Linked DNA regions of Mus musculus. The protein of the gene in region 6 interacts with the protein of the main gene of each other region in a pairwise test. Links are inferred from orthologs where the notes say so. Each region holds a gene or a part of one and is shown on either strand. Other genes may lie near its edges. The genes, in order: Snw1, Ccdc42, Bysl, Ccnd3, Cox5b, Tfip11 and Cfap206.

What was found.
Region 1: the proteins of Tfip11 (region 6) and Snw1 interact in binary tests that used the Homo sapiens proteins (3 or more experiments, as listed by UniProt). The link is inferred for Mus musculus from reciprocal best matches to the Homo sapiens genes TFIP11 and SNW1.
Region 2: the proteins of Tfip11 (region 6) and Ccdc42 interact in binary tests that used the Homo sapiens proteins (3 or more experiments, as listed by UniProt). The two-hybrid records come from large-scale screens. The link is inferred for Mus musculus from reciprocal best matches to the Homo sapiens genes TFIP11 and CCDC42.
Region 3: the proteins of Tfip11 (region 6) and Bysl interact in binary tests that used the Homo sapiens proteins (3 or more experiments, as listed by UniProt). The link is inferred for Mus musculus from reciprocal best matches to the Homo sapiens genes TFIP11 and BYSL.
Region 4: the proteins of Tfip11 (region 6) and Ccnd3 interact in binary tests that used the Homo sapiens proteins (3 or more experiments, as listed by UniProt). The two-hybrid records come from large-scale screens. The link is inferred for Mus musculus from reciprocal best matches to the Homo sapiens genes TFIP11 and CCND3.
Region 5: the proteins of Tfip11 (region 6) and Cox5b interact in binary tests that used the Homo sapiens proteins (3 or more experiments, as listed by UniProt). The two-hybrid records come from large-scale screens. The link is inferred for Mus musculus from reciprocal best matches to the Homo sapiens genes TFIP11 and COX5B.
Region 7: the proteins of Tfip11 (region 6) and Cfap206 interact in binary tests that used the Homo sapiens proteins (3 or more experiments, as listed by UniProt). The two-hybrid records come from large-scale screens. The link is inferred for Mus musculus from reciprocal best matches to the Homo sapiens genes TFIP11 and CFAP206.

Annotation. Positions count from the first base shown.
Region 1 is NC_000078.6:87,469,387-87,473,761, reverse strand, and holds the start of Snw1 (SNW domain-containing protein 1), read left to right. Parts: upstream 1-1,462; 5' UTR 1,463-1,500; coding exon 1,501-1,514; intron 1,515-4,375. UniProt on the Homo sapiens protein: Involved in pre-mRNA splicing as component of the spliceosome. As a component of the minor spliceosome, involved in the splicing of U12-type introns in pre-mRNAs.
Region 2 is NC_000077.6:68,585,585-68,589,954, forward strand, and holds the start of Ccdc42 (coiled-coil domain-containing protein 42), read left to right. Parts: upstream 1-1,452; 5' UTR 1,453-1,630; coding exon 1,631-1,713; intron 1,714-2,052; coding exon 2,053-2,158; intron 2,159-2,592; coding exon 2,593-2,697; intron 2,698-4,370. UniProt on the Homo sapiens protein: Essential for male fertility. Required for sperm development.
Region 3 is NC_000083.6:47,604,976-47,608,649, reverse strand, and holds part of Bysl (bystin), read left to right. Parts: intron 1-1,648; coding exon 1,649-1,811; intron 1,812-3,674. UniProt on the Homo sapiens protein: Required for processing of 20S pre-rRNA precursor and biogenesis of 40S ribosomal subunits. May be required for trophinin-dependent regulation of cell adhesion during implantation of human embryos.
Region 4 is NC_000083.6:47,591,941-47,596,314, forward strand, and holds the start of Ccnd3 (G1/S-specific cyclin-D3), read left to right. Parts: upstream 1-1,526; 5' UTR 1,527-1,714; coding exon 1,715-1,912; intron 1,913-2,355; exon of another isoform or gene 2,356-2,385; coding exon of another isoform or gene 2,386-2,439; exon of another isoform or gene 2,440-2,459; coding exon of another isoform or gene 2,460-2,465; intron 2,466-2,793; coding exon 2,794-3,009; intron 3,010-4,133; exon of another isoform or gene 4,134-4,275; intron 4,276-4,374. UniProt on the Homo sapiens protein: Regulatory component of the cyclin D3-CDK4 (DC) complex that phosphorylates and inhibits members of the retinoblastoma (RB) protein family including RB1 and regulates the cell-cycle during G(1)/S transition.
Region 5 is NC_000067.6:36,690,171-36,694,009, forward strand, and holds Cox5b (cytochrome c oxidase subunit 5B, mitochondrial), read left to right. Parts: upstream 1-1,316; 5' UTR 1,317-1,416; coding exon 1,417-1,519; intron 1,520-2,040; coding exon 2,041-2,114; intron 2,115-2,280; coding exon 2,281-2,380; intron 2,381-3,026; coding exon 3,027-3,139; 3' UTR 3,140-3,218; downstream 3,219-3,839. UniProt on the Homo sapiens protein: Component of the cytochrome c oxidase, the last enzyme in the mitochondrial electron transport chain which drives oxidative phosphorylation.
Region 6 is NC_000071.6:112,324,981-112,329,322, reverse strand, and holds the start of Tfip11 (tuftelin-interacting protein 11), read right to left. Parts: upstream 2,955-4,342; 5' UTR 2,850-2,954; intron 1,839-2,849; 5' UTR 1,653-1,838; intron 1,362-1,652; 5' UTR 1,353-1,361; coding exon 1,141-1,352; intron 1-1,140. UniProt on the Homo sapiens protein: Involved in pre-mRNA splicing, specifically in spliceosome disassembly during late-stage splicing events. Intron turnover seems to proceed through reactions in two lariat-intron associated complexes termed Intron Large (IL) and Intron Small (IS).
Region 7 is NC_000070.6:34,720,168-34,723,841, reverse strand, and holds part of Cfap206 (cilia- and flagella-associated protein 206), read left to right. Parts: intron 1-1,045; coding exon 1,046-1,234; intron 1,235-2,267; coding exon 2,268-2,426; intron 2,427-3,674. UniProt on the Homo sapiens protein: Essential for sperm motility and is involved in the regulation of the beating frequency of motile cilia on the epithelial cells of the respiratory tract. Required for the establishment of radial spokes in sperm flagella.

The DNA.
Region 1 (4,375 bases), on a different chromosome or scaffold from region 6:
CTTAATTGTGTTGTAGTAAAATTGCTGTTCTCTATATAACCATGGGATGATTAGGGATCATCAGGGTACAAGCACCCCAAACGATATGTCTCTGTGGAAAATGAGAATTGACTGTCAGAATACATATCCATCCCTTTCTTTCAATCCTACATCCTAGGTTTTGGGCTATGCCTTTCTGATTTCCCACATTCATTATTTTAACATTGCCCTCAGTAGCCTCTTTAGTCTCTCATTACCATAGAAAACCAGTGTGTGGCAAGAAGAGTCCTTTTGTTTGTTTGGCGTGGTGATTTACTTATGCTTAGTGCAAGGTGTGGTACTCTCAGGAGGTATGGCATTGTTGGAGGAGGTTTGCCACTGTGGATGTAGGACTTTGAAGAGATCTATATCTACTCAAGCTCTGCCCAGAGTGAGACAAGCAGTCTCTCCTTACTGCCTTCAAATTGGCTTGCTGAACTCTCAGCTCCTTCTCCAGCACTATGTCTGCCTGGATGCTGCTATAATGATAATGAACTGAACCCCTGAAAATTTAAGCCAGCTACAAGTGATATTTTCCTTTATAAAAGTTGCCTCAGTCATGGCATCTTTTCACAGTAATGGGTACACTAAGACAGTTTGGTTTTAGTCTTTTGAGACAGGGTTTCTTTGTGTAGTCTTGGCCATCCTAGAACTAGCTCTGTAGACCAGACTGGCTTTGAACTCACAGTGATCTACCTCTGGGATTAAAGGCATGTGCCTCAACTGCTGGACTAAGAACTGTCTTTCTTGAGCTGCATTCAGTGGCAAAGACCTTTGATCCTAACACTTAGGAGGCAGTGTCAAGCTGATGTCAGATCATGACCAGCTTGGTCTATAGGAAAAGTTCCAAGGCAGCCAGGACTACACAGAAAAACCCTATCTCAGAAAGAAATAATTGTCTTTCTTACCTGTCTCAGTCCTACTTCAGCTCCAAATTATCAGCTGAACTAAATCTACGCTCATTGATCTTAATTTCTAGCATCTTCTTTATTTGCCACACCCCACACTGTTTTTTAAATAATTCATTCGTGAAGCAAAATTTAAAGTAGATGACTGTTAACACAACGATTAACTATATGCACGGAGGGTGGCTTATAGTGGGGGATCAGCCAGACTTTGCATCCTATTCAAAACTCTTAAGCAGTACTATGTGTAGCGGCCTTAAAGCAGAGTTGGATAATAGTATTAGCGTCCCAAAATAAGGCTTTATATCATATTTTGTATTATCACTACTGACATGTTAAACAGAGACCCTGTAGCCTGTAAAATCTACAGAAGTAAGGAATTTCGTATGCTAAGGTAGTTGTTGCTAACGCACTTTCAACAGACTGGCTGTCACAAGTCTCTCTCAAAGAACTACAAGGCCCAGAGGGCCGTTCGGTCAGAGCGCCTGCGCAGTGAGCATTTTTCCATTGTGTTCCTCGTTCCCGGGCAAGACTCGCCCGGCGACGTTGTGGCCTGCGCAGGAAGAAGCGGAAGAAGATGGCGCTCACCAGGTGGGTTGTTGATTTGGGTCCTCGATACGGAAGGGTCTGGAGTACACATCTTTTCCTTTCTGCCCGTACTGTTCGGGCTGTGACCTGGCCTGAGGCGCAGAAGTAACTTAGTCAAAACCGTGGCTGGAACCTCTCTCGGGCTTCCTCCGCGACTAGGCCGCGCCGAAGCCGGGGTCTTTCCTTCGGGGCTTCCCGGGTTGAGTTCGCCCCCCCCTGTTCCGAGAGCCCTGACATGGCCTCGCCGCGAGGACCTCACATGTGCTTCGCGTAAGCGGCGCGGTAGATTGACGAGCGCCTTGTGGACTGCGGGCTGAGATGGTTGCACTGCGAAGCCGCGGCTTATTTAACCCCGCTAAGCAAAGCTCGCCCGTCTCGTGGGAGGCTTTCCAGCCGCTTGTATGTTTTGTGCTTCTCATTTTCTCCTGCTACTCTCTCTCTCCCGAAACAAAGATTTTTGCAAAAAAAAAAAAAAAAACAAAACAAAAAAACAAAGAGTTGGGAACGTCCGAGAACCGACCAAGTTTTTTTTTAATTGACAGCAGTAGGGGCTGCTGTTGACTAAATGCGCGCCGCTCCACCTTTTAACTTTGGATCTTAGAATTTCTTTTGTACATAGAACCACCTCCGGCTTTTGCTGTTCCTGGTTGCCCTGGTTACTGTATGTAAAGTGTTTCCAACCTTTAAGGAAAAGAAAATGCTAAGTGGGAGACTTCCAAAAAGTTATGTAACTCCCAACTGCTGTAAGTGGAAAAACTTTCCATGCAAACTCAGCTGGAAAAGTCTGATTTTAAAGAAGGTATTCACTTTAGGGCCTTGGATTGTACCTGTTAAACCCACTTCTCATATTTTTTCCTGGCTCATAACAATATGAATCCTAAGAATATTTTGGTTATATGAATTAAGGTTTGTTGTCCTGCTTTGCCCTAGAGGTAGTATATGTAGAATGAAAAAAAAATTTTTTTTAAACCGGGAAGATGGACAAGTGGGTACACGGATGAAAATAGTGCAGGCGGGAGGATCTCAGAGTTCCAAGGCCAATCAGGTCTGTATAGGTAGTTTAAGGCCAGGATTTAAAAACAAAAACAGAATAACACTGACCTGGTTAGCTTTAACTGTCTGCTTAACACCTGGTCAAAAGATATCAGGTGAAAAAATTGCCTAGAACAGATTGGCTTATGGACATGTCTGGAAAGGATTGTTTTTCTTGCTAAGAGATGCAGGAAGATCCAAACCACTAATGGCTGCTCCATTCCCTAGGCGGGATATCCTGAACAGTATAAGCTAGATGAGTATAAGCCACTCTGCCAACCAGCAAGCAGCTTACATGGTGCCTAGCCTGCCTGCCTGCTTGCCTCCCTCCTTCCTTCTCTGCAAGAAAGCAAGTCCCTCTTGCTCTTGATTGTCTGTGGGATTTCACTAGCTGCCTTGACATCTCTCGTGGGTTTTAACCTGGAATTAAAAGCCAAATGTACTGGCTGGGTTTGTGTGTCAATTTGACACAAGCTCAATTTATCACACAGATAGGAGCCTCACTTAAGGAAATGCCTCCACGAGATCCAGCTGTAAGGCACTTACTCAATTAGTGATCAAAGGCGGGAGGGCCCAGCCAATTGTGGGTTGTGTCATCCCTGGGCTGGTAGTTCTGGGTTTTATAAGAAAGCGAACTGAGCAAGCCAGGGGAAGCAATCCAGAAAGCAGCAGCCTCCATGGGTACTGCATGAGCTCCTACCTCCAAGTTCCTGCCCTGTGCGAGTCCCTTTCCTTACTTTCTTTGGTGATAAACAGCATTGTGTAAGTGTAAGCTCAATAAACCCTTTCCTCCCCCTACTTGCTTCTTGGTCATGATGTTTTGTGCAAGAATACATACAGTGACTAAGACATCAGATAAGCCCTTCCTCCTGTAAATTGTGTTTTGCCGCAGTTTTTTAACAACAGCCACAGAAATGAAACTGGAACCAACAGATGATGTACTGGTACATCAACAGATGTGTGGTCCTAGCCTCGGTACAGAAAAATAAGAGTGAGTTGTGCTGACTGAGTGTTTTAGATAGCAAATATTCGAGTCTTCTTCAGGCACTATGATACAGATTAGTAGGACCATGAGAGGGAAAGTAGAATTTGAAATGGATGCACACAAGAAGAACGCCAGAGGTATAATATGTCTTGAGTGCCTATCAGCAATGCTAAAAGGTGAAGTCTCAAAATGGTCGGGCTTGAGGACTACAAAGCTTTCATTTCTGTGTTTTTAAATGTTGTTTATAAAACTAGCAAATACGGACTGGGGAGGAATAGGTCAGTGGTTCAAAGCAGTGGCTGTTCTTGCAGAGGACCTGGTATGTTTCCCAGCACCCACATGGCAGCTCAGGTTGCTCTGTCTGGTAAATGAATAGTTAATCATAATGCAGAAAGTTGGATGGTATACACATGGTCTAGACAGCTTTAATCCCAAAACTGGGGAAGCAGCTGGATCTACACAGTGAGAGTCTGTCTGCTGACAATGAAAACAGAAAAACCAATAGGAAAGCACAGTAGCATAATGTGGAATTCCTCTATAATCTCATTACTCTAGAGGCTGAGGCTAGACAGGGACAAGTTCAAGACCAGCCTGGACTACCTAAATAGGCCTTGTTAAAAATTAGGAAGGCCACCAAACCCGGACACTATTGCATATGCCAGAAAGAGTTTGCTGAAGGGACCCTGTTATAGCTGTCTCATATGAGGCTATGCCAGTGCCTGGCAAATACAGAAGTGGATGCTCACAGTCATCTATTGGATGGAACACAGGGCCCCCAATGGAGAAGCTAGAGAAAGCACCCAAGGATCTGAAGGGGTCTGCAACCCTATAGGTGGAACAACAGTAT
Region 2 (4,370 bases), on a different chromosome or scaffold from region 6:
AGGTGCAGGAGGAGCTGAGAGTTCTACATCTTCATCTGCAGGCTGCTAGAAGACTGGCTTCCAGGTAGCTAGGACAAGGGTATTAAAGCCCATGTCCAAGGTGACACACCTACTCCAATAAGGTCACACTTCCTAATAGTGACACTTTCTACCCCAAGCATATACAAACCATCACACAAATTAACTGGATAAAGAACACACACACACACCTTTTGTGAAACTTAGAAATAATTTGCCTTATTGTCATTTTGCTGGGTCTATATCTGGAGTTGGGATTAGGGATTTACGGTGGGCTGGGGGTGATGAGGGGATAGATGGGTGAGATCAGAGTGGGTGGGCTTTTTTCTGTACCTTGAGGAGAGACCAAAGGTGAAACACGAGCAGGACACTCTCTTCCTCACAACAGGGATTTGGAGAGCTAGAGGAAGCAGCATGCCAGGTGACCCACAATTTAGCCTGCAAGCTCTGTCCTTGGCTCCAGCCAGAGACCCCCAGCAATCCTACCTCAGCCCGCTGGGAGGAAGGGCAGGGAGGGGTCAGCACCCAGGGCCTAGTGCCAGCAGAGGTCACTATAGTGCTGTTTCACCCAGGGACCCAACCGTACACAGCTTTAACCTCAAGTCAAATAAGTATTTAAATATGCATGTGTCCTCTGGAATGGAGGAAGGCAGCCATAAGAGGTAAACCATTTAAACAAGGGACCTATTCCATTACCCACCACACCTGCACTTATAGCTCAAAAGAGTATTTTATCTGTACTTAATAAACTCCGTCTTATAATAAAGGGACCTTGCCTTGCCTTGGTCCCTTTCCAAGCGGCCAGGAGCTGTATGCCCCTACATCTCTTTGGCCCACTACTTTGTTCTAATGCGTCTCATCATTTCCCCACTTTTCACACTTCTCTGTCCACCTCTCCCTGTCCCTGGTCGTCTCTCTGCTGCTTTTGCTCTTTACCATCCATCTGCCACCCAATCTCGTCTTCCCCCTCACCTAACCCTAGGAAAGAGGTGCCCGGGAGTCAGCTTCACAGATCGGACTCCTCTGTCAGGCTTTCATTCTCTGTGGCAAATGGTCATACCCTGCCTCCCTACCCGGTAAAGGAGCAACTGGTAACGTAATCAGAGTTCCTGAAAGGTGCCCTCGGGAACAGAGAGGCCACCTCAAGTGAGTGAGGTTAGCCGGGCAGTGGTGATATACACCTTTCCTCACAGCACTCAGGCAGCAGAGGCAGGCAGATTTCTGAGTCCAAGGCCAGCCTGGTCTACAGAGTGATTTCCAGGACAGCCAGGATTACACAAAGAAACCCTATCTTGAAAACAAAACAAAGAGAGAGGTGGGTGGGGAGTTAGTGGGTTCATAGGTTAGAGGGCAAACCGTGGGTGCCTCAGAACCAGGCAGCTTGTTGCTAGGTAACCAGATCTCCTATCACCGCAAGAGCACAACATACTAAAGCAGCCTCTAGCTGGTTTCTGCTGTGTCTCTCAGCTACCCACTCTCTGTGGGACTTTGAAAGCAGCAGGAGGAGAGGAGACCGAGAATCCAGCCACTAACCCCTGAGTGCCCTGTGGCACTGTCACTCACCATTTCACTTTGAAAAGTAGGCCACCGGGGCTGTTAGGTAGCTGCCACCATGAGTTTGGGCATGATGGAAGAGGAGGACTTGGCCGAATACTTCCGGCTACAGTATGGGGAGCGGCTGCTTCAACTGCTGCAGTAAGTGCTTGGTATATAGCCTGTCTGTCTCGCCTCTGAGCTTGGGACCACTCTTACCCTCATGATGATGCTCTGCTGCCAGGTCTTTCCTCTCCTACAGCCCAGTGCTCCTAATTGCCTTACCCCATGACCCAACTCCACCCTGACTCTGGGCCCCCATCACTCAATCGCCCCCAAAAAGCCCTCGTAGATCTCTCTCTTCTCACACAGCTCCTTTCATTAAGGTGAGAGTGGAGACCTCTTTTCCTTCCCATGGGCATCCATCTCTGAGGTGCTCCCTACCCGATCCTGCTCCTGCCTCTCAGAGGGTCCTGTTCCCTTTTCGTTGTTCTCGGGCAGGAAGTTCCCAAATGTTGAGGAGCAGTCAGACTCCCCATCTATCCAGCTCCTGGAGAAGAAGAAAGAGGCCAAGATCATGCAGGAGGCCATGGAACATAAGAAGGAGGTGAGGTGGGGAGTTGGGGGTGATAAGGGTAGGGGTTCAGGGTAGGGAATGGATTGGCTGAGGCTCGAGGTTAATGGATGGTGGGCCCTCGCTTTGGGGGTAGGGTGGCTACAACTGGTTCTGGACTCTTTCCTCCACAAAGAACAGAAAGGGTCTGAGTCTTGGGGGAACTAGGGTCATGGGATACTATACTAGGATCTCTGTACAGGATAGAGAGTGCAAACTACAAGTCCTTCTGTAACTACGTTTCATTTGAAGAGTTGGGGATTTAACTCCTAGCGACTTCTTTTCCACTGAGCTACATCATCAGCGTTCCAAGAGCCCCCCAGGCTAAAGGATAAAAAAACACTTTGGGCAAATGATGTTAGACTCTTTCTGAGAGCCCATGTCAGGTGGCTGGCTCTCTGACTTTCACCTTCTCACATGCCCTACAGGCATTCCAACGGAGAATGGAAACGCTGAACTTGCGCTGGGAAGAACTAGGTATTAAGGAAGAGCAGCTGAAGGCCCATATCCAGAAGTTCGAGCAATTCATCCAGGTATGAAGTGGGGTGACCTGCAGAAGGCAGAGACTTTACACTGCACTGGGCCAGGTGGTTCTTCCCCTCTACTTGACTTTGTGGGCTCCCCACGCTCCCGACCTCCGGGATTAAAGGTGTCTTCCCTGGTCCAGGAGTGCCTGATCTTTCCCAGGCATCTTCTATATTCTATCTACCTCTATCTGAGATGTCCCGTTTACCTGCCAGTCTCTTCTCTCTACTTGACCCTTTCCTGTTTCCTTGCCAGTACCCAGGTGGCTGGGTGGACGAGTGGATCTGATGGATACAGAAGTGAGTCAGGGGCTTGGTCACTCCCTCACTGTATCCCTCCCTCTTTGTCCTTGCATTGAAAGCAAGGGACAGATGAAGGCAGGAAACCATTGCAATGAAGGACCATGAAACAAAAAGACTAGTAAGAGACTCAAGAATCTTGACCTTGGGTTAGGGAGTTAAGCAATGCCCCCTTTCTTCCTTCTAAGATCTCAGTGATCTGGAGGAACCAATGAGTACAAATGGGTAGTGATAAGCAGGAGCAAGAATGTGTGCGAAAGTGTGCTAAAGCAGCCACACTGGAAGATTTGTACAGCGCGGATGATGGCTTCCATGCTTACATAGATGTCGCCTCTCCCCTAGTTCTTCCCCACCTATAGGGAAGCTGGAGCTGAACTCTATTCCATTAACTTGAAGGGTTCTGACAAAGGGCCCAGTGGTGTGGCGCCTCCAGCCCTGGGACCCACCTCAGAATTCTCCACCACCTTCTCCAGGTACTTGTTCTCCAGGTACACTCTAACGCCTCCCAGAGACACTAGGGACACACGCAACTAAGGCACACTTGCATCCAACTGGTTGGAAGGAGTGGCTGAGGACTCAAGTGAGGGTCCCCTGGTCCTTCCCCACCCCTTACAATGAGGGAGCACCAACAGTCAGCCAGCCCAGCTGTGATGGATCTTCTGTGGCTGGGCCCTAGAGATGACAGCAGTTTGGCTCAGAGGATGGCCCTCTTCATCAGTACTTAGAGGAATGATTTGAGCTGGCAAGATGGCTCCGTAGGTGAAAGCACTTACCGCCAATGCTGAGAGCCTGAGCTAGACCCCCTGGGACGTACTTGCATGTTAGAAAAAAAAGAGAATTGACTCCCCCCGAGTTTTCCTCTGATCTCTGGGCGTGCACTGAAGCATGTTCACAGGCATACACGTGCATACACAAAAATAAATAACAATGTAAACAAAACAAAAGCCTCACTCAGACTTGTTGGCCAGCAATGCTCCAGGACCAGCAGTAGAGAAGTCCTGAGGAGTTGGGAGCTGTTGCAAGGAGGGCTCACTGCTGCCCTCTCCTGGAGGAACCCTACTTGTAAGGTCCCTCATTCTATGCACAACTGGGCAGAGCAGGGATGTCAGTGTTCTGAGATACAGTCCTCCTGGACCAGAGCAAAGTTGATGGAGTATTGAAGAGGACAGGAAGTCTGAGAGTGAAGGACTCTCCAAATGACTTCCAGGAAGTCAGAAGCTGTGGAATCTCATGGTACTCTTCACAAATACAGACGCTGGTAACTTCTTCCTTCTTCTGCCTCTAGCAGGTCTCAGGTTGAGACCAGACACCTATAGGTGTTTAAAAACTTTCTAGGTGATTCATATATGACTGATTTGGGATTCCCCGGGCCTCTCTGGTGC
Region 3 (3,674 bases), on a different chromosome or scaffold from region 6:
ACACTTGTTCTTGCAGAAAACCCAAGTTTGGTTTCTGGCATTCATATGGCAGGCTATAGCTGTCTGTAACTCCATTTGCAAGGGATCAAATGCCATCTTCTGATGTCATTAGACACCAGGCACACTTGTGCACAGACATACGTGCAGTCAGCACTCAAACATTAAAAGTAAAATAAACCTAAAACAAACAACCTTGGCTCTCACTGGGTATGCTCTGTGTACTCTCTGGAGCTCTATATAATATACCCTTAGTCCACTTCCATAGCAACTGATCTGTTGCTATGGTAATAATTCAACTACTTTGGTTTATTAGACTCTTTCCCAACTGCCTTGCCAGCTATGTGCGGTATTTCAAAAGTCAGCCCGGTGTATTGGCACATGACTTTAATCCCAGCACTCAGGAAGTACCCAGCCAAGACTCCATGGTCAGGACCTCAGGATGTGGCAGGAATGGCTCAACCCACCTATCACCCAAGTGAGGACACAGAGACCTCTTATTAGTTATGAAAGCTTGGCCTTAGCTGCCTTGTTCCGAACTCGCTGATACAACATAATTGCTTTATACTAGTCTACATTCAACCACGGGGCTCGTTACTGCTCTTCAGTAACAGCACGTGTTTCTTCCTCTGTGTCTGGCTGTTGAGTCCCCTCACATCTGATTTCTTTCCCAGAGTTCCTATCTCTGCCCAGAAGTCCCGCCTATCCTTTCCAGCCCTGCTATGGGCCACTCAGCTTTTGATTAAACCAATCAGAAGGTGATGGAGAAGAAGTTTCCACAACACTGAGACAGGTGATGCTTCATTAAAAAAAAAAACCAATGCCGACTGTACTCAGCTCTCTGCTGGAACAAAGATTAACATGTGAATAGTACACAGGCAGCCTTTACATGGAACACACGGGATTAACCCAACATCAGAAGCTCAGCCTTCAGCACTGTGGTGCGTGTTTGGAAAGTGGAGGCGCGAGAACAAGGAACTCCCAAGTCATCCTCGACTACCTAAGCCAGTAACTTAAATGTGTTGGTTGATCAGAGTCCGAATGCCACTGCCCAGCCTTAGAGCCTTCCAGGTTGGCTTTCCGTTTCCTTTCTGGCTCCTTAGTGCCCAACACTCTAACAGCATTACTTTCCAGGACGTGGAGCATGCTCTTGCTCCCAGACTGCCCATCCAGAGCCTCCTCAGCCTCTGTACTCATCCAAGTGCCTGAGGTGCACACTGCCTCCACCATGGTTTTAGTTTCAGCACATGATGCAGTTCCACTGTGCAAGCAACATAGTGGGAAGTCAGGACCCACAGTGCCTACCTACTGTGGGCACATCAACTCTTCTGCCCCGGTTTGAACTGGGTATAGCAACAGTACCTATTCCTTGAGGTCATCTGGACAGACCAGGTTACATGTGTGTAGTATAGAATGGATCCTTCTTGGTCATTGAGGGGGGACATGTCATCCATTCACTGAGGGGACATGTCATCCAGTCTTTACTGGCCTTATCATCTCTCGCTTCGTGTGCTGTATTTTCTATCAAGATTCCAAGTCTCTGGGGACAAAAGGATAGTCCCTCTGCAGGTGTCCCTCCTGCTCCCTGGGTGTGCTGTACGTGGAATGGGGAACTGACTCACAAGCCCCTGCGGCTGGGATTATCTTGTAGGGCCGGGATTGCCACAGGATGGATCAGATGAGGAGGATGAGGAGTGGCCTACCCTGGAGAAGGCAGCCAAAATGGCCGGGGTGGACCACCAGGCAGAGGTGATCGTGGACCCTGAAGATGAGCGTGCCATTGAAATGTTCATGAACAAGAATCCTCCCGTGAGGTAAGGCTTAAAGGTTGGACCAGTGGGTCCTGGTAGAAAGTTCATCCAGACCACAGCTGTTGGTCTGACCATTGCCAAGAGTGGCCCCTGAACGGGAGTGACCCGGATTCCCCTTTGCCCATCTGATCTGGAACCTCTGGATTACCGGTTCCTTGTGATAGCTGGGGATCCGTTTAGTAGTGTTTATTCTTGGTACGTTACTCTCATAGCTTAGTCTTATTTTTTTTTAAGATTAATTTATTTATGTATGTGAGTACACTGTAGCTGTACAAATGGTTATGAGCCATCATATGGTTGTTGGGAATTGAATTTTAGGACTTCTACTCATTCTGGCCAACCCCACTCGCTCTGGCCCAAAGATTTATTTACTATACATAAGTACACTGTAGCTGGCTTCAGACGCACCAGAAGAGGGCACCAAATCTCATTACGGGTGGGTGTGAGCCACCATGTGGCTGCTGGGATTTGAACCCAGCATCTTCGGAAGAGCAGTCAGTGCTCTTACCTGCTGAGCCATCTCGCCAGCCCATAGCTTAGTCTTTAACTCAGGGTTTTCCATCTCAGTTACAGTGTTGGGGCCAATAGCAGCTATCTCTGACAAAATGTTCCCAGAGGGGTTAAAACTACCTCTGGGTAGAACCACAAACGTACCCCCATGTGTTATAAATGCTACTTCTAAACATGCAGTTATTTAGGCTGCCTGTGGTCAGATTCTTGGTTCCATTCAGATGGATCTGGCCTCATTGAGAGGACTGGGCTTAGGGCAAAGGGGCTCAACCAGTTTATTCTTCAGAGTGGGGTGTAGTACACCACTATCATTAATAGTACGGTGATGAGCAGCTTGGGTTCAGAGAACACAGGAGAACCCTGTCCCCTGAAGGTGTCTGACAGCTCTGAGAATGGTCATGGGGTGTGATGTGCCCCCCAAAGGCTCTCGGGCAGCACCTCATACCCAGTGGCTCTTGATCTGACAAACTTAGCAGAATGTTTTCTGCAGTTGCTATACGGAAGTGACAACATGGTGGAAAGGGGGACCGTGGGCACTCTTGAGCAGTGGCTGCTGGCATCTTCAGAAACCAGGCTAAGGGTCTTTGGGAACACAGCAATCAGGCCTTGTCACTTAAGGCACATTGAAGACGCTGCGAAGCACCCAAACTAGAAGTCGAAAGACTAAAATTTACCCTTTCCCTGAGAAAGTCTTAGGGCTTAGGAGAGTTGTTGGTTGGCCCTGAGTCTCGATTCCCCGGCCTGGGCAGTGCGGGGGAATAAAAGCACCTGCCACCAGTGTCATGCAGACCACAGGACACAAGTCTGGAAAGTGTCAGATTCAGTGCTGCTCGGCACAGAAAAAGACTGCAGAGAAACTTTTTCCCCTTGTGCTGGAAGCCAGAACCCAGGTCTCATCCTTGCTAGGCAAGTGCTGGGTGAGTAGGATAGGCTGGCCTTGAACTCACAAAACTCTGCCTGCCGCTGCCTTCTGAGCGCTGGGATGAAAGGTGTGCACCAGCGCTGCCTGGCACAGAGCTCCACTCTGCACTCAGAAGTTGCTCCCCGTTGTGTGAGCAGTGGGAGGTGAGCTTGAAGTAAACAGCCCTCAGGACCTGCTGGCTCTGGCTGAGAGTCGGGCCTGCTGCAGTCTTAGATTTTACCCTTCAGCTGACTGTCCAGGGGGGTCCTTTTACTTCCCCAGTTTACAGATGAGGAAACTGAGGCTTAGAGGAGTCAAGTGACGGGCCCAGGATCATACAAGGACCAGAAGAGCCGGAGCTGACTTCAGGGCCTAAGGGCCTAACGTCCCCACCACTCTGGCTCTGCGTCAGATGCAGAGACATCCAGGGCCCGTGCTCTGCAGCACTTTGAGGC
Region 4 (4,374 bases), on a different chromosome or scaffold from region 6:
GAGCAGAGAGAGCAGTGTCTTAGTGGTGGGCTTTCTTCTTTCTTTCCCTCCTTTCCTCTTTCCTGCCTTCCTTATTACATCCTTTTTTCCCTTGATTTTTGTTTTTGAGACATAGTCTCATGATATTAGCTCCTCCTGACCTAGAACTCTTATTTAGACTAGGCTGGCTTTGAACTCAAAGAAATCTGCTTGCCTCTGTCTTCAAAGTGCTGGGATTAAAGGGGTGCTCTGTCATGCCTGTCTTCCTTCCTTCCTTCCTTCCTTCCTTCCTTCCTTCCTTCCTTGTTATTTGAGTCATCTGACATGGGTCTGGCTGGCCTGGAATTCTCCATGGGCTATTATCATTTGGTTTGCTTGGTTTTGTGATAAAATCTTATATAGCCCAGGCTGCTCCTGAACTCATTAGGAAGCAGACAGTGACCTTAATCTTCTGATCGTTTCTGGGTTCTGCAGTGCTGGGGATTGAGCCCTGGGCTCTGAGCATGCTAAGCAAGAGCTCTACCACCTGAGATATATCTGCAGCCCACCCCCTGCCACCGTGTGTGTGTGTGTGTGTGTGTGTGTGTGTGTGTGTGTGTGTGTGGAGAGAGAGAGAGAGAGAGAGAGAGAGACTCTAGGCAGGCCTTGAATTGTCTGTATAGTGGATAGTGGATCCTGGTGTTAAGCCAACACTTCCCTGGGTCTGAGATTACTGGCTTGCTCCACCACAGCCAGCACCAAATGGCTTTTTATATGCTGATTTTGACCAACACTGCTCACACCTCCGTTGGTGCAACGCAGTGTCCCATTCAGCAGACCTGAGAAACTGCATTTCTTCTTTTGCTTTTTATTTTCGTTGTGTATGTGCATGAAGGTGTGTGCGCACATGCTACATACAGCCTTGGTGTAGAAGTCAGAGGACAGCTTATGGGAGTTGCTCTCTTCTCTTCCATCATGTGGGTCCCAGGGATCACACTCAGGTTGCCAGACTTGATGCCAGGATAGTTTACCCTCTGAGCCATTGAATCGGACAGAAACTACATGCTCCCAGATGCTGCTGCAGATCTGCGCAATTCGTTAAAGTAGACGAGATTCTAAGTCAAGTTTCCCGACGGACCAACAATGAGATCTTTGCAGCTACTATTGTGCCTCAGTATCATGGTCTGCAAAATAAAGCCCAACTCGAGGCCATTCCTAGAAGCCACTTTAGGGTAGGAGTGACCCAACTATGTACAAAGTTATGACCACATTCCCTAGAGCAATGAAATATGACGTATACACGAAGGAATAACTTTTGGCGCCTAGTTCTTTCCTGGGTGGCTAGAATCGCGACGGGGCCCATTGATGGGGAAGAGGGCACCCTTCCAGAAAGTTCTCTCTACCCTCTTGGTCAGAAGGGACCCGAGGGCCCGGAAGCGTGCGGGCCGGAGCCCAGCGGACCAATGGGGCTGCGGGGAGGGAGGGAGGGTATAGCGCCCGCCAGCCCTTTCCGACTGCGGCCCCGCCCCTTAGAACGTTGTGACGTAGGAGCATTCCACGGTTGCTACATCGTCGCGAGGGGCGGGGCGCCTGTCAGGGAAGCGGTGCGCGCGGGTGGCGGGCGGGCTGGGGCTTCTCCGCACAGTGCCAGCGCCAGCGCCAGACCCGCCCGCACCCCGCGCTCTCCCTCACGCGCGTCGCTTCTCCTAGGACTCGCTAACCCGCACTCTTGCTCTCACCCGTGAGCCATCGCAGGATGGAGCTGCTGTGTTGCGAGGGCACCCGGCACGCGCCCCGGGCCGGGCCCGACCCGCGGCTGCTTGGGGACCAGCGTGTCCTGCAGAGTTTACTCCGCCTGGAGGAGCGCTACGTGCCGCGAGCCTCCTACTTCCAGTGCGTGCAAAAGGAGATCAAGCCGCACATGCGGAAGATGCTGGCATACTGGATGCTGGAGGTAAGGCCCGAACGGGTCCCCTCTCCTCACCCCACCCCCACCCCCGGCTCTGGGACAAATTGAACTTTCCCTGTCGGATCTTTGCGATCCCGACCACAATCTGCAAGATGCTTTGGCGGCCCAGACTACTGGGGCCTGGCCTTTTCACACAGGCGCCCTAAGCAGCTGCCTGCGTTCTGTCCCTTTCCTTTCCCCAATCCTGATCGGCTTCTTCTGTGATTTCCAGTCACTTGGCACTGTAACTAAACTTCACTTTGGGTCGGGAAAGCGGGCTAAGGGCCACTCTTTCCCCAGTGGCTTTCCTCGGTGTCTCCTGCTTCCTTCTTCACCCGGTGCTCTCTGGAGGGCGCGTTTGGAAAACCCTGGCCTCGGCCGCCTTAGCCCCAGAACTGGTTCCTGTGTCTATCGCGGGGTTCTGGCGGGGGAAACTGGTGGGTGGGGGTGGCGCAGGCTCGGTTCCGGTCCACAGGGAAATGAAAAGTGCGGGAGACCGCGGCAGGAGTTCCCTCCCTTCCCCCTGGGAGTGTGTGTGCAGTGGGTGGCGGTAATGAGGGTAAGGTCCCAATTCTCTCTAGGTGACCCTTCCGTCCCCCTTCCGCTCGCCGTGGGGGAGGGGAGTCTGGAATCCTTCGTGAGCATGGGCTTCTCTTTTACACCCCCTACTCCGGGGTGGGGAAGAGACCATGCAGAGGAAGTGGGGGGGTCACCTTGGGGAGGGCACATCCTCCTCGGTTATTGATACTTGTCGCTCTAAGTTTATCCCTTCTCGGTTTATTTTTTGCTTCGCATTCCACTCTCCCTCCACCCCCCACCCCCACTTCTCCACGCTGCCGTGTTTCACTTGGTCCTTCCCTAGCAATGACTCGTGCGCCCTCCCTCAGGTGTGTGAGGAGCAGCGCTGCGAGGAGGATGTCTTCCCTCTGGCTATGAACTACCTGGATCGCTACCTGTCCTGCGTCCCCACCCGAAAGGCGCAATTGCAGCTTCTAGGTACCGTCTGCCTGTTGCTGGCCTCCAAGCTGCGCGAAACCACGCCCCTGACTATTGAGAAGCTTTGCATCTATACGGACCAGGCTGTGGCTCCATGGCAGTTGCGGGTGCGTGCGGAATCCTCCCCCCCCCCCCCCGCCCCTCCACCAAACATACGATCGCCCTATGTACTAGTAAAAGAAAAGCCAAGCTCACTCCCTCACCCACCAACCCTCCCTTCGCCCCTGGCTGGTATTTTGGGACAAAGGCCTTGTAGTGTGGTCGTGGTGCTTCGGTTGCAAGCTTAAAACTAAATGAATCCCTTTCCTCTGGCCGCAGTGGGGTTCCACTCCTAACTCGCCCCCCCCCCCCCCAATAGCAACAAGTCCAATTGCGGGTCTATACACCAGTACTTTGCCTCTGGGTTTACACAGCCACCGTGAGTTATTTATTGGCAGCAGCAGGGCATGTCTGCACACCCCCACCGGAGTGGAATGTGCTTCACGTGGGGGAGGGGGCTGCCTTGCATGAGCCTTTATCCCCGTGTGGACTTTGTGATGGAAAAGCCTCCCGGAGCTGATTAAAGCCAGGCCCTGCTCGCTGGAAGGAAGCGCTGAGGTGTTTTCATCCCTTTCCCTCCTATCCCCGAAGACACCGCTCTTTTCTAAACCCTCCCTTTCTTGTCTTCCTTCTGAAAAACTCGAGCAGCTGCTCTGGGCCCGTGGAAGAGTTTCTCCCTTTGCTGCTCAGCCAAAGGCCAGAGCCGAGACAGACAGGGAGCTGAGCTGCAGCTGCTTCCGATGTGATAATGATGCCGGTCCCCTGGCCCTCCCACTCAGACCAAGGGCTTTCATAACCCTGTGGGGAGCTGCTGTCACTCCTGTGGTTTGGGAAGTGGCTCCTTGGGGCCTCTTGCTGGGAACTTGGGCTGGGCTCCTCCAGGCGGGGCAAAAAAAAAAAAAAAAAAAAAAAAAAATCGGTTGGGTTCTGCCCTGCCCCGGAGGAGTCTAGGGAGGAGGTGGATCTGCTTGGATCTGGAAGGGAGCTTGAACGTCATCTCCCACAGGGTCTGGGGGAGAGGGTGGGTGAGCTGGCACCTCCCTCCACCTTGTTCTGTGGCTGGCCAAGCCTTCTCTGACCCTGAGAGGAGTCTCTGGGCCCCATCTCCTAGGGAGGAGGGCAGCAGGCAGACTCCTGTGATTGGCTGGCTGGGAAGCTAGGGTACTGGGGCCCCTGACTGCTGTGAGTCGGGGAACTGGATTCCTCTTCCTGTCAAGCAGCTCTCACGGATGGGAGGCCTGAGTTGGGAATCCGGGAGGCCCCACAGCTCTTTGTGATGAATCTAGTTTCCAGAGCCAGGGAGCACGATGTTTTTGAGGGATTGAGGCTGGGAGGTAGGAGACTTACTCTTTGTGAAGAGATTAAGGGTGGTCTACATGGCTGTGTGTGAGGGGAGTTTTTCAGAATAGGCAAAGCCCTCCTTCTCCTGCTCG
Region 5 (3,839 bases), on a different chromosome or scaffold from region 6:
TGTAGTGGAGACAAGGAAGTAAAAATGAAAACTATGCAAAGTGTAAGCCCATCTTCACAGTCAAGAAATTTGGTGCCTCATTATAGGCTATTTTTTTTTCTTGGTTGAGGGCAGCCATGAAGACCAGGTTAGTTCCTCTGAAGGAATGTTCCACCAGACCCTTTTGAAAATAACCTACAAGGGGTAGGTGACAACACCCAGGAATTTAGTCCTTTGTAGTTTTCCTCAACTTGACCTTTTGTAGTCACAAGCTCTATAAACTATATTTTTGGTCCAAGCGGCAGGATTTACTAAAAGTCATTTGATATTATTATGTCAGGCCTCTGCAAGGTACTTAAGATTTCATCACTGGGACGCAATTAGGGAAGCATAGATACTGTATGCAGCCATAGTGTTTCAGGAATGTTCCACAACGAGAATAAATCGAAGAAGCCAGTGTTTGGAAATCTAGTGAACGCTCTGCCGTGAGTTGTCAGGCTTTACCTGTGTGCAACACTGAGCAATGGAGGACGTTTTCTGTCTAAATTAGAGACTTCTGGCCACGGTGCCTATTGTCATTTCCAGTTGCATTATTAACTTTCTTTCTGTCCCTCCTCCTCCTAGTATCCTCATCGTGGTGGAGTGGCCATCAGGAGGTATCCTACATCTATGCCTCCAAAGCCCTTCTGCACCGCACCCCCCGCACCCCCCTCATCCTTGTCCCTGGGGCCAACACCATCACCTCCCATAACATTACTATAGGAGGAAAACTGAGGACGGTGCAACAGCTTTAATCCCAGCAGAGGTAACCAGATCTCTGTGAGCTTTAGACCACCCTGATCTACATAGGGAGTTAAAGGTCAGCCAGGCTACATAGTGATACCGTGCTTAAAAAACAAAACAAAACAGAGTGGAGGAGGGAATTGAGGCTAAGACTGTGTGTGTGGGGGGGTGTACTGTCAATTTCTGACGGAGTGGGCCATTGCAACAATTTGGTAACAACTAAAGCTGTCTGCAGTCTCGAACCCGTGGCTAACAGGCATAACAAACACAACAGGCTTCCTGAGCTCACGCCCAAGGTTGTATGATTCGTGGTGGAAGCCCTTGACTGCGGGAACTTCGGCTTCCACAGCACCTCCACTACAAGAACTACTATGTGGCTGGGACACTGGGCGCGAACACTCAAGCGGACAGGTCATGAACCCGAAAGCCGCTAGCTGTCAGGGTGACTGACGCCACGCCCCGGAGGCGGCGGGAGTCTGCGCGGCCCACGAAGAGGCAGAACTGCGCATGTGCGGCGTCTACTTTTAGCGCTGCTTCGGCTGGTCGGGGCAGGAAGCGGAAGACTGACCGGGCGTTGTTAGACTCCCACCAACGGAAGTCCCGCCCATCTTGCTCAGCCTGTTCCCGGAAGTGCATCTGCTTGTCTCGGGCGAGATGGCTTCAAGGTTACTTCGCGGAGTGGGCGCTTTGGCGGCGCAGGCCCTGAGGGCCCACGGCCCCCGTGGCGCGGCCGTGACCCGCTCCATGGCTTCTGGAGGTACGTGACCAGCTGGGCGGGACAGGCCGGTGTCCATGGCCTCCGGCGTGGTTGGTGATGGGCGGTCGAGCGGGGTCGGCCATTAGCGTTCTCTCGAGCCCTGCTGACCACCTTAGGCTCCGGGAGCCGGCGCTCTGTCCGGTCTTGCTGTAATTTCGGCCGCCCACCCGATCGAACCCGCTTTCAAAGTGCCCTCACTGGAAGGTGCCGGGTGACCTTGGAACACAAGGACTTGGAGGGCTGAAAAAGCGCTGGACCAACATTCAAATCCCTTGCCCGCCACCAGCCAGTATACTCTCATGACTTGATTGTAGGGAAAGTCGACAACCAAGCTTCCGCGGTGGGAAGGGAAAAACGGTATGGCTTGGGAGTCATGCCTCAGTGGGCTTAGGGGACTGTGGGAATGGGTAGCTTGGGAACCCACCAAAGAAGCGGATAACGTCACCTTTCCCGTGTTGATCTTTTTATCGTGTATCCATCGTGGTCATATCAATTGCCGTAGCTCATTTTTCTTCTTCTAGGTGGTGTCCCCACTGATGAGGAGCAGGCTACTGGGCTGGAGAGGGAGATCATGATAGCAGCACAGAAGGGACTGGTAAGGAGAAATGCTGTGTCCTCTGGAGCCCTGGGGCTTGGATGGGATTAGAGGAGTTCCTGTCAGCCAGCGTCTGGTCCTGACAACCCAGCTTGTAGGAACGGCCCTTTTGCAGTGCAGTGGCAGGCGTTATCTGTCATAAATAGTCAACTCTTGTCTCTTTCAGGACCCATACAATATGCTACCTCCAAAGGCAGCTTCAGGCACCAAGGAAGACCCTAATCTAGTCCCGTCCATCAGCAACAAGAGAATAGTGGGCTGCATCTGTAAGCACTTTGTTTTTATTTTCTGGCCCATTTGTTTATAACCTGCCTCACAGAATGTCTATAAATTGCTTCAGATATGTGTGTATGATGGACTGTATGTGTGTAAAAATGTAAATATGTGTATACATTGTTGTAAGGGTTGTTGACTGTCTTAAGTCTCAGTATGCATGAGAAGTCACAGAAGGCAGATGACCCTGGAGCTGTAGTTACAAGCAAGGCTGTGAGCCACTTTGCTGTGGCTACTGGGAATTGAACTCAGGTCCTCTGGAAGAGCAGTCCATGCTTTTAATTGCTGAACTATCTTTCCAGCCCAGATTATTTACACACACACACACACGTATGTACATACATATGCCAGGTACTGTTTGTTTCAAGCACTAGGGATACACATGAGTACAGATCCTGTTTTGGAATTTTGCATAGGGACTGGAATTGTTAGAACCTACAGTGACCCCATACAAGGTTATCTTACTCACAGGTAAATGCATCCCCGCTTTTTCATTTGAAGGAGCGGAGCGTGAAGTGGTCTCCTAGTCAGTGGCAGTTTTGTTGCTGTGTCCGAAGTGTCTGTAGGAAAGAGGTGAATGCTGAAAGCCTCCCTCTGTACATGGACGCTGGATGACTGTCAACCGTCTTTCCCTTTCAGGTGAAGAGGACAACTGTACTGTCATCTGGTTTTGGCTGCACAAAGGCGAGAGTCAGCGATGCCCCAACTGTGGAACCCATTACAAGCTGGTGCCCCACCAAATGGCCCACTGAGCCCCTGTGTTATCTTTTCAGAATGTAAAGAAAAACTTCTCTCTAATAAAGATTAGCCATTGCACTGGCTCCTCCCATAGCTGGCTAGTCTTATGTCTATAGTCTTTTTTTTTTTAATATATATATATTGAGACCACCTATCTCTTAATACTAGTTTGGCATCCACTTAGAATGTAAAACCAGTATAGAATTGTTAGAATTTTATTTTTAAAAAATTTTAAACTTTTTGTTGTTGCTGTTATTTGTTTGCTTTTCGAGACAGGGTTTCTCTTTTCTCTGTGTAGCCTTGGCTGGCCTGGAACTCACTCTGTAGACCAGGCTTGCCTTGACTTCAGATTCTGAGTGCTGGGATTAAAAGTATCTGCCACCACAGCCTGGCTAAAAATTCTTTTAAATTTTAACTTTTATATAATGTAGAGGGGGCAAAAACCAAGGGGGATTGTTAGGGGCAAGAGCAGTGACAATATGCTGACCTTGCTCAGATCTTCATGGTTCCGTTTTGCCCTGCTAATGACTGAATAACTGGGCCATATGCTACAGAGACACTAACCCTGACGCAGGACTTAGGGGAAGGACGTTACAGAGCTCCAGCCCACTCTGTCCTCCAGTGAGAACTGTCACTGTGATCTCTGCACCTGTCAGTGGTTCCCTTTAAAAGGGAGAATGAAGAAAGAGAGACGCACTGAGCTGGACCCGGTCA
Region 6 (4,342 bases):
TGCAACACCCTGTCCTGGAAGCTGCTCGAAAGAGAATTCCTTAGAGAGAGAGGCCCTCAATAATCTTACATTTAACATTTAAAAAATATTATATGGGGGGGGGGCCTAACCACATGACACTGTGGGTGCCCGATGAGCCAAAGGCTCGATTCCCTGAAGATGGAATTAGAGGCACTTGTGAGCTGCCTGAGGTGGGCACTGGCTGGGAGCCACACTCAGGTCTGCAATAGCAATTGAGTTCAATCTCAATTGCTCCTGGGTCCTCTTCCAGCCCACATTTTACACTCGTGGGGTCTGTTCGATTCAAACTATAACTGAAGATTTGCCACTGTCAGTAGGGTTGAGTATAAATTCAGACTAGGATGTAATAATCTTACTTCCTTTGGACGCTTTCAAAAATGCCATTATTGCTCTGTGCAGACAATTTGTAGAGCATCTCGTCCCTTTCCCCTTCCCTGTAGGAATCTGGTGACTGAACCCAGCTAGCCAGGTGTGCATGGCAACAACCTCCGAGGCATCAAACTGGGCCCCCTTTTACAACTGAAAAGACTGTGTTAGCTTAGTGTCTGCTTTGCTTTAGAGTGGTACAGCACTTATCTAGCATGCCTGTAAACACACACACACACACACACACACACACACACACACACACAGTGTTTGTTTTAGATACTATTTCAAGGATAAAAGTCAGAACAACTCAAACAGATAAAAATCCTAAGTAAAATTAATCAAAACATTCTGAGTGTAGTTAGGTGGGGAGACTTGAGACAGCATCTTAATGTGGACCCCAGGCTGTACTACCACTCTCCCCTGTGGACCTACTCACTTTTCTACCTCCGTTTGGTCCAACAGCGTTTTCTCCAGAGCACCCTCTCTAAACTCCCTGTTCTCTAGTGCCCTGTGAGTGCTCCCTGACACAGCATGGCCCCACAGCTGCCATGCCTGTGGTGGGTCAGCACTTCCCTATCCATAAGTAGCCCTGATCCCATCACACAGTAACTGCTGAGGGGGAGCTCGCCACCCCAGCTCAACAACACATAGCAAGATGCTGTAGCACCCGGACTCTACAAGGGCAGAAAACTCTTCTGGGATGCCTTCCCGATCCTCCAGACCCAGGGCATGCAGCCCAGCACACAGTACCTTTTGCCTCCAAAGCTGGGCCTCTCCTCGTCCGAGTCTCGCTCCGCCCACACCCCGTAGGTGGCCTCCTCTTTGGTCTGCCAATGGCGCTGCCGGTTGGGGTTGAACTCATTCTGGAGATCCCAGTCGGTGATCTCAAAGTTCTCCCTCTCATCGTCATCGTCATCATCAAGGTGGCCTTCGCCATCCCGGTACAAGTGGGACAGAGACATGGCCAGTCACTAGAGGACGGTGACAAGAACAGCACTGTGAGAACCTGGGGCTAGCAGAAGATCCGCCAGTGTCAAAAAGCTATTAATGAGCCTCATGATCCAACTCAGTAAAGCAGCCATTAAACAAAGGGCAAAATGACCAGCTCCGTGACAAGTGAGACAAGTCAGACCCAGCCATCCGAAGGGGGCCTAACGCACAATGCCTTGTCAGAGTCAATCACCATGCACGCGTGGGGCGGGGCCACAGAATGACAGGCACATATGCCACAGAAAGGAAGCAACAGCTCTAAATGTTATTACCTCAGAAACCAGGTTGGTCTTTTTACTTCTCCAGGAAAAGTTGTATCTAGCCAATTTGCAGTTCCAGGGAAACTTCAGAGCATTTTCTGAAATACTATTTCCACGGGACTGAAGGTTTCCTTCCCTGAACGGCTTCTACGGTACTGGAAGGTTGCAGTCTTTCTGAATGCCACTTTGCAGTCACTCCTAGAGGGTAGGGAAAAAACAGTGTTCTACCCAGGTAGCTATTCATCTCTCTCTCTCATAACTGCATTCATTCAGTTCCAGGAGAAGCTTGTAAGGACTGATTAAGATGATACTTTCGAAAAACAAAAGCTCCAACACTTTGGAGGCAGAGAGGCAGATCCATCTCTCTAAGTTCAAAGCCAGCCTGGTCTCAAAACCGACAAAACAACAACGAAAGCTCCGCTCCCAGTAGGTGCTCAAGAAACAGCACCCTTACATCTTTGACTCTAGCAGTAGGGAGGCAGAGACCAGGGGGGTCTGAGTTCAAAGCCAGCCTGGTCTACAAAGCAAATTCCAGGGCAGCCAGGGCTGGCTGCTAAAGAGAAATTCTGTCTTGAAAACAAAAACAAAAAACAAAACAAACAAACAAACAAAAAACAGAAACGGGGGGAAAGGGAGGAAAAAGGAAAAAAAAAAAAAAGCATCTTCTTCCACTCCATGATCGGGTTTCAGGTTCACACTCATTACAAGTCAGGACTGCGAAGTGAATCCTTCAAAATGATTGTGAAAATCATTAACACTTAACACCCCAGCCTGAGTCTAAATCGCGCCTCTATGAACACCTGTGAGTGTGGTTATCACATTCAAAGGTCCCGACCCGACACTGTGTGCATTGCACAGTAACATCCTCACTATGTGACACCAGTGACTGACAGCGTGAAAACGGCTCCGCGGTGACTAACAGCTCCCCCCCCCCCCCGCTGCTCCTCCTCCTCCTCCTCCTCACTATGCACCGGCGAAACTCAACAGGTTCCGACCCCAGCAACCAGCACATGTTGAGTTTCCTCAAAGGAGCAGGAAGCCCTAGGCCCACTCAATTACAGCACCGCCACCTCCCCAGCACAGGGGACAGGAGACGCTCAGCTCAATGTCAGCAGCGGGCCCGGAGCGCAGGGAAACCGTAAAGCCGTCGTCACGGAGCCTCGGAGCCTCAGCCCGCGCTCCCGGGACGCCACCCCGCCGCCTGCTCACCTCGCTCAGCATCCGCGAGAGCCACACAGCCTTCGCCCAGCGTCCCCGAATCTGCGAGGGTCCCGCCAGCCCAAACCCGGATGTGGCCTTTACCGGCGCATCGGAAATACGTCATCGCTCAGAGGCGGAAGTGGCGCGCTGTTGCCCCGGCAGCGACTTCACGCCGGAGGGGGCGTGTCTGCAACCCGGAAGGGCCGGTGATCCCGCCTCGCGCTGCTTCTGGTTCCCATCGGAACTGAGGCTGAGTGGCCGTCTCGTTCCAGGGCGAGCCGTCGCCAGGCACTGGAGTCTTACTTGGCGTTACCAGCGTCACGAGGACACTGAGAGATTAAAATGTCCTCGCGACCCCATGTCGAGTTCTCTCCAGGAAGCAGTTTTATTGTTCTCCTCTTTGCTCTAGTTATTTCTCTGTCGCTGGGAAAGAACGGAGTTGGGGTTTCTTGTTGGTTTGATTTGGTTTTGGTTTTGTGAATTTTCAAGACAGGGTTTCTCATCCTGCCGTGGTGGCGCACGCCTTTAATCCCAGCACTTAGGAGGCAGAGACAGGTGGATTTCTGAGTTCGAGGCCAGCCTGGTCTACATACAAAGTGAGTTCCAGGACAACCAGGGCTACACAGAGAAACCCTGTCTCGAAACCCCCCACCCCCAAAAAAAAGAAAGAAAGAAAGACAGGGTTTCTCTGTGTAGCCCTGACTGTCCTGGAACTCATTGTGTAGACCAGGTTAGCCTCGAACTCGGGAGATCTGCCTGCCTCTGCCTCCTGAGTGCTGGCCTTAAAGGCGTGTGCCAACGCGACCCACAAAGAGCATATGTCATCTTTTTACACATCTTACAAATCTATACATAGTCTGGTGCCATCTCTGGTTCTGAAACTAATTTGTTTTCTCTAATACCCTAAAAGGCTGGGTCCTGGTGGGTTTTGTTGTTGGCTGGACTTATTTTTGTTTTCCCCTGTCAGCTTGATACACACTAGAGATATCTAGGAAAAGGACTCGGTGCTTCCATCGGATGGCCTGTAGGCAAGACTGGTGTCGTTTGCTTGATTCATGATTGATGTGGGACGGCCCAGCCCATTGTGGGTGGGGCCTCCCCCTGTGGTCCTGGGTGCTGTAAGCACAGGGAGCAAGCCAATAAGCAGCGTTCCCTCCGTGGCTTCTACTTCAGTTCTTTTTAAAAATGTCTTTGGACTGTAATCTGTAAAGCAAATAAATCAGTTTCCTTCCCAAATTGCTCTTGGGTATGGTCTTTACAATACAGCAATAAAACCTAACCAAAAAACATGCAGGAGGATTTGTTAGTGAGGCTCTTGGGGAGTCCGTCAGAGCCAATGTGATACTGTGGGATCAGGGTCCCTTCTTGGGGTTTTATGGTCACGTGAATGAAAGCATCTAAGAACTGATACAGAGAGCTGAGGGCGGGCAGTGGGGCCAGGGTTGGGGGTGGGGGCGGGAACGGCAGGCAAGTTGTAACTCATAGCTGCCGGGAGGAGAACG
Region 7 (3,674 bases), on a different chromosome or scaffold from region 6:
CTTACTTTTTTGCTTAATAACAATGAGATCCCAAAGGTGTGTGTGTGTGGGGGGGGGGACCATAAAATTAAAGAAATTTGATTTCTTTTCTTTTTTTTTTTCAATTAGTAAAACATTCTCAGTTGCTTTTGTGGTGAAATTATAGATATGAATGCTGCATTGTTGAATTGTGATTGAGAGATTTCACTAAGTTACAAGAATTGTTCTGGTGGTCAAGGTGGTCTCCAGTCACAGCATGACACAGGAAGATAAAAGAATAATAAATTATATATTTGTTGCCTAGGGGTGTTTTGTTTTGTTTTTGGTCAGCTTAACATAAGCTAGGGTCACCTAAGAGGGAAACCTCATTTGAGGAAAAGGCTCCATCATGTTTGCCCGTAGGCAAGTCCGTGGGGCGTTTTCTTGATGAGTGATTGATGTGGGAGGGCCCAGCCCATTGTGGTAGGTTGCACCACTGTTGGGCTGAGCCAACCCCAGTGAGCATGCCAGTAAGCAACATTCCACTATGTCCTCTGCCCCATTCCTGCGGCTAGCTTCCTGCCCTGACTTCCCTCAATGATGGGGAAAACTGTGATGTCTGAATCAACCCTTTCCTTCCAAGTTGCTTTTGGTAATTGGTGTTTATAGAGCAATAGAAACCCTTACTAAGACAATGCGATATTGTATTATCAGTAATATTACTCAGAAGACATTTACTAGGACTGAGACAAGTATAACTCAAGAAGAGTATATAGACTTCATATGTAATACTGCGCCACATGTCTTTACACATTTATGCACGTTTACACATATGCTTTGACAGAATATTCTATTGAATTTCTGTATTTAGACTTCTTGCTGCCCTCTGTTTTCATTCACCATTATGCCTTAAGAGTCAGGGTTTGGGGATTTAGTTCAGTGGGGCTCAATCCCTGCACTCAAGGGAAGGTGGCAGGGAGTTTTGTTTTCATGAACTTGACATACACGAACCTGTTTTTCCTGAGCCCTTATCTGAGGTGGATTTTAAGTATTGAAGATGCAAAATAGTGTTATTTGCTCATTTTAGAGGACTTTCTTGAAGAACATCACCGGGTCTTAGAATCCAGGTTAGGCATTGTTAGCAGAGAAATCACAGACAACAGAGCAAGTGCTAGGGAAGAGCTGGAAAATCTCTACAGAAAGATCGTCAGCTACGTGCTCCTGCGCTCTGGGCTTGGATCCCCCACAGACATCAAGATTGTCAGAGAGGCAACAGGTAAAAACTAGAAATGATTTCCATTCCATAAGCAGACCTATATGCCCACTGTATTCACGTGTATAGTTTGTGCATGTGTATCCATACCTTTGCGTGGATGGGGGCTTGTGTGCAAGTGTGTGTGTGTGTGTGTGTGTGTGTGTGTGTGTGTGTGTGTGTGTGCCAGAGGTTGACCCTGAGAATCTTCCTCCGTATGTCTACTTTATTTACCAAGCCAGGGTCCCTCACTGAACCCAGAACTCTCCATTCCAGTTCTGGCCAGTCTAGCTCAACAGCTTGCCCCAGGATCTCCAGTCTTCCCTCTATAACACTGAAATTTCATAGGAAGGCACTGCACTGGCTCAGTATTGGTTTCCATGGCTCCTGGGGATACAGACTGTGGTCATCACACTTGTGTGGCAAGCAAGCCCCTTACCCACGGAGCCATCTCCTTAGTCCTGGCCATTGCATTTTATAAAATTGTTAAAGATTGAAGGAAAATCAGCACAAATAAGTAGTTCAAACTCACCCAGGTTTCTAGAACTATTTGAGTACATATGAAGGTCTGGGAAGTAGAAGGGCACGGGTAAATCAGGGGTTCAAAGCCACCCCGAGCTATGTACTGAGTATGAGGCCAGCCTGATTCCACAGGACTCCTTCCCTCCCAAAATAAAACCAATATGTAGTGGGGGGGGGGGGGTATTAAACAAGGTATTCGGCCTTCCTATTACAGTTTTCCATTATTATTTTAAAGAATAGATTTATCTACTCAGAGCCTTAATTAGAAAGATTATTTTTGCCAATTGATGAATTAATAAGGACAGAAACATGGGGTAACAACATTATTTTCAGTAGCTCAGACCTGGTATTTGGTAACCTTTGCTATGCATGCTACAGAAGGCATCATAAGTATAAATTGTGTAGGTAACACTAGAAAGACGCATCCCTCGACTTTGTACAGAGAGAGCGAGGCTTTAAACCTGAGTTCTGCCAGCTTTGTCCCACCAGCACGTTGCGGTCCATTGAGGTGTTTCTCTCCTGTGTTCTGCTTCAGCCGCTCTGCAGAGCGTTTTCCCTCAGGCTGAGCTCGCCACGTTTCTGACCCTCAGTAAGAAGGACAAAGAGCGCCAGTTGAAAGAGCTCACCATGATTGTTACCGGAATTCGCTTATTTAACAGAGACTGTGGAAAAGGAGGAGAAGGCATTGATGATTGTAAGTGCATCTGTAGGCTGCTCCTCACTCAAGGTTCTGCATGCTTAAGGCGCCACTTCACAGTGTAGCGGGCACCACACCCCGCCGCCTAAACGTACAACTGCTCTTCATCCCGTGAGGTAGTCCTCGCTTTCCTGAGGCAAAACTTAACATTTTTGGTACCATGGAGCTAATGTCGGGGAACTGAGTCAGTCGCTGGAATGAGGGCTCAGCCCAGAATCCAGATTTGGAACGCTGTGCCAGCCAAGGGGAGGAAAACTAGTTTAAAAGCAAAGATCACCTATGGTGCTGTGTATTTAATGCGATGAAAAAGCCAAAGAGGGCCGGGCGTGGTGGCACACACCTTTAATCCCAGCACTTGGGAGGCAGAGGCAGGCAGATTTCTGAGTTCGAGGCCAGCCTGGTCTACAAAATGAGTTCCAGAACAGCCAGGGCTACACAGAGAAACCCTGTCTTGAAAAAACAAAAACAAACAAACAAACAAAAAGCCAAAGAGGAGACATGCCAAGATCTGCAGAGTCAGAAACGACTCCTGTGCTGGCCCTTACACAATGCTTTGTTGTTTGTTTATTTTTAGTTTTTAGGCAGGACCTCACTGTGTAACCTTGAACAGTCTGGAACTTGCTGTGTAAACCAGGCTTGCCTCAGATTCACAGAGATCCACCTGCCTCGCCTCGGCCTCCCAAATGCTGGGATGAAAGGCACTCACCACCACACCCACAGTGCATCCTTTAAGTTTGCAAATACTTAGAAAGTATCTAATAAAGGACCTAATGGTAAGTCGTTTCATGTGAACTTTACACTAATGCAGACCCGTTGAGAAGGCATTACTGCCTTTATCTAGATCACTACATCAACACCAACAGCAGGGTCAGCCAGTCAGCCACCCTGCCTGTCTTTTCTCCTGCCTTCCTAACTTTTGGGGGCTGGGAAACCACAAGTTACACCTCCAACCCTATGAGGGTTTTGTTTGTTTTTATTTTTAAAAGTTATCATAAAAATTCAAGTACCAGGGTTAGAAAGCTGGCTCAGTATTTGCTACTCTTAAAGAGGATTCGAGGTTCTGTTCCCAGCACCCACATGGTGGCTCACAACCAGGCCATGGCACTGGAACATGGGATCCAGCACCCTCTTCTGGCCTCTATGGGTATTGCACACACATGCTGCACAGGTCTATATATAATGTAAAAATTACAAAAACCAATTTCCCACCAGTCAGAGAGGGCCTTCCCTTGCTAGACTGCTCTG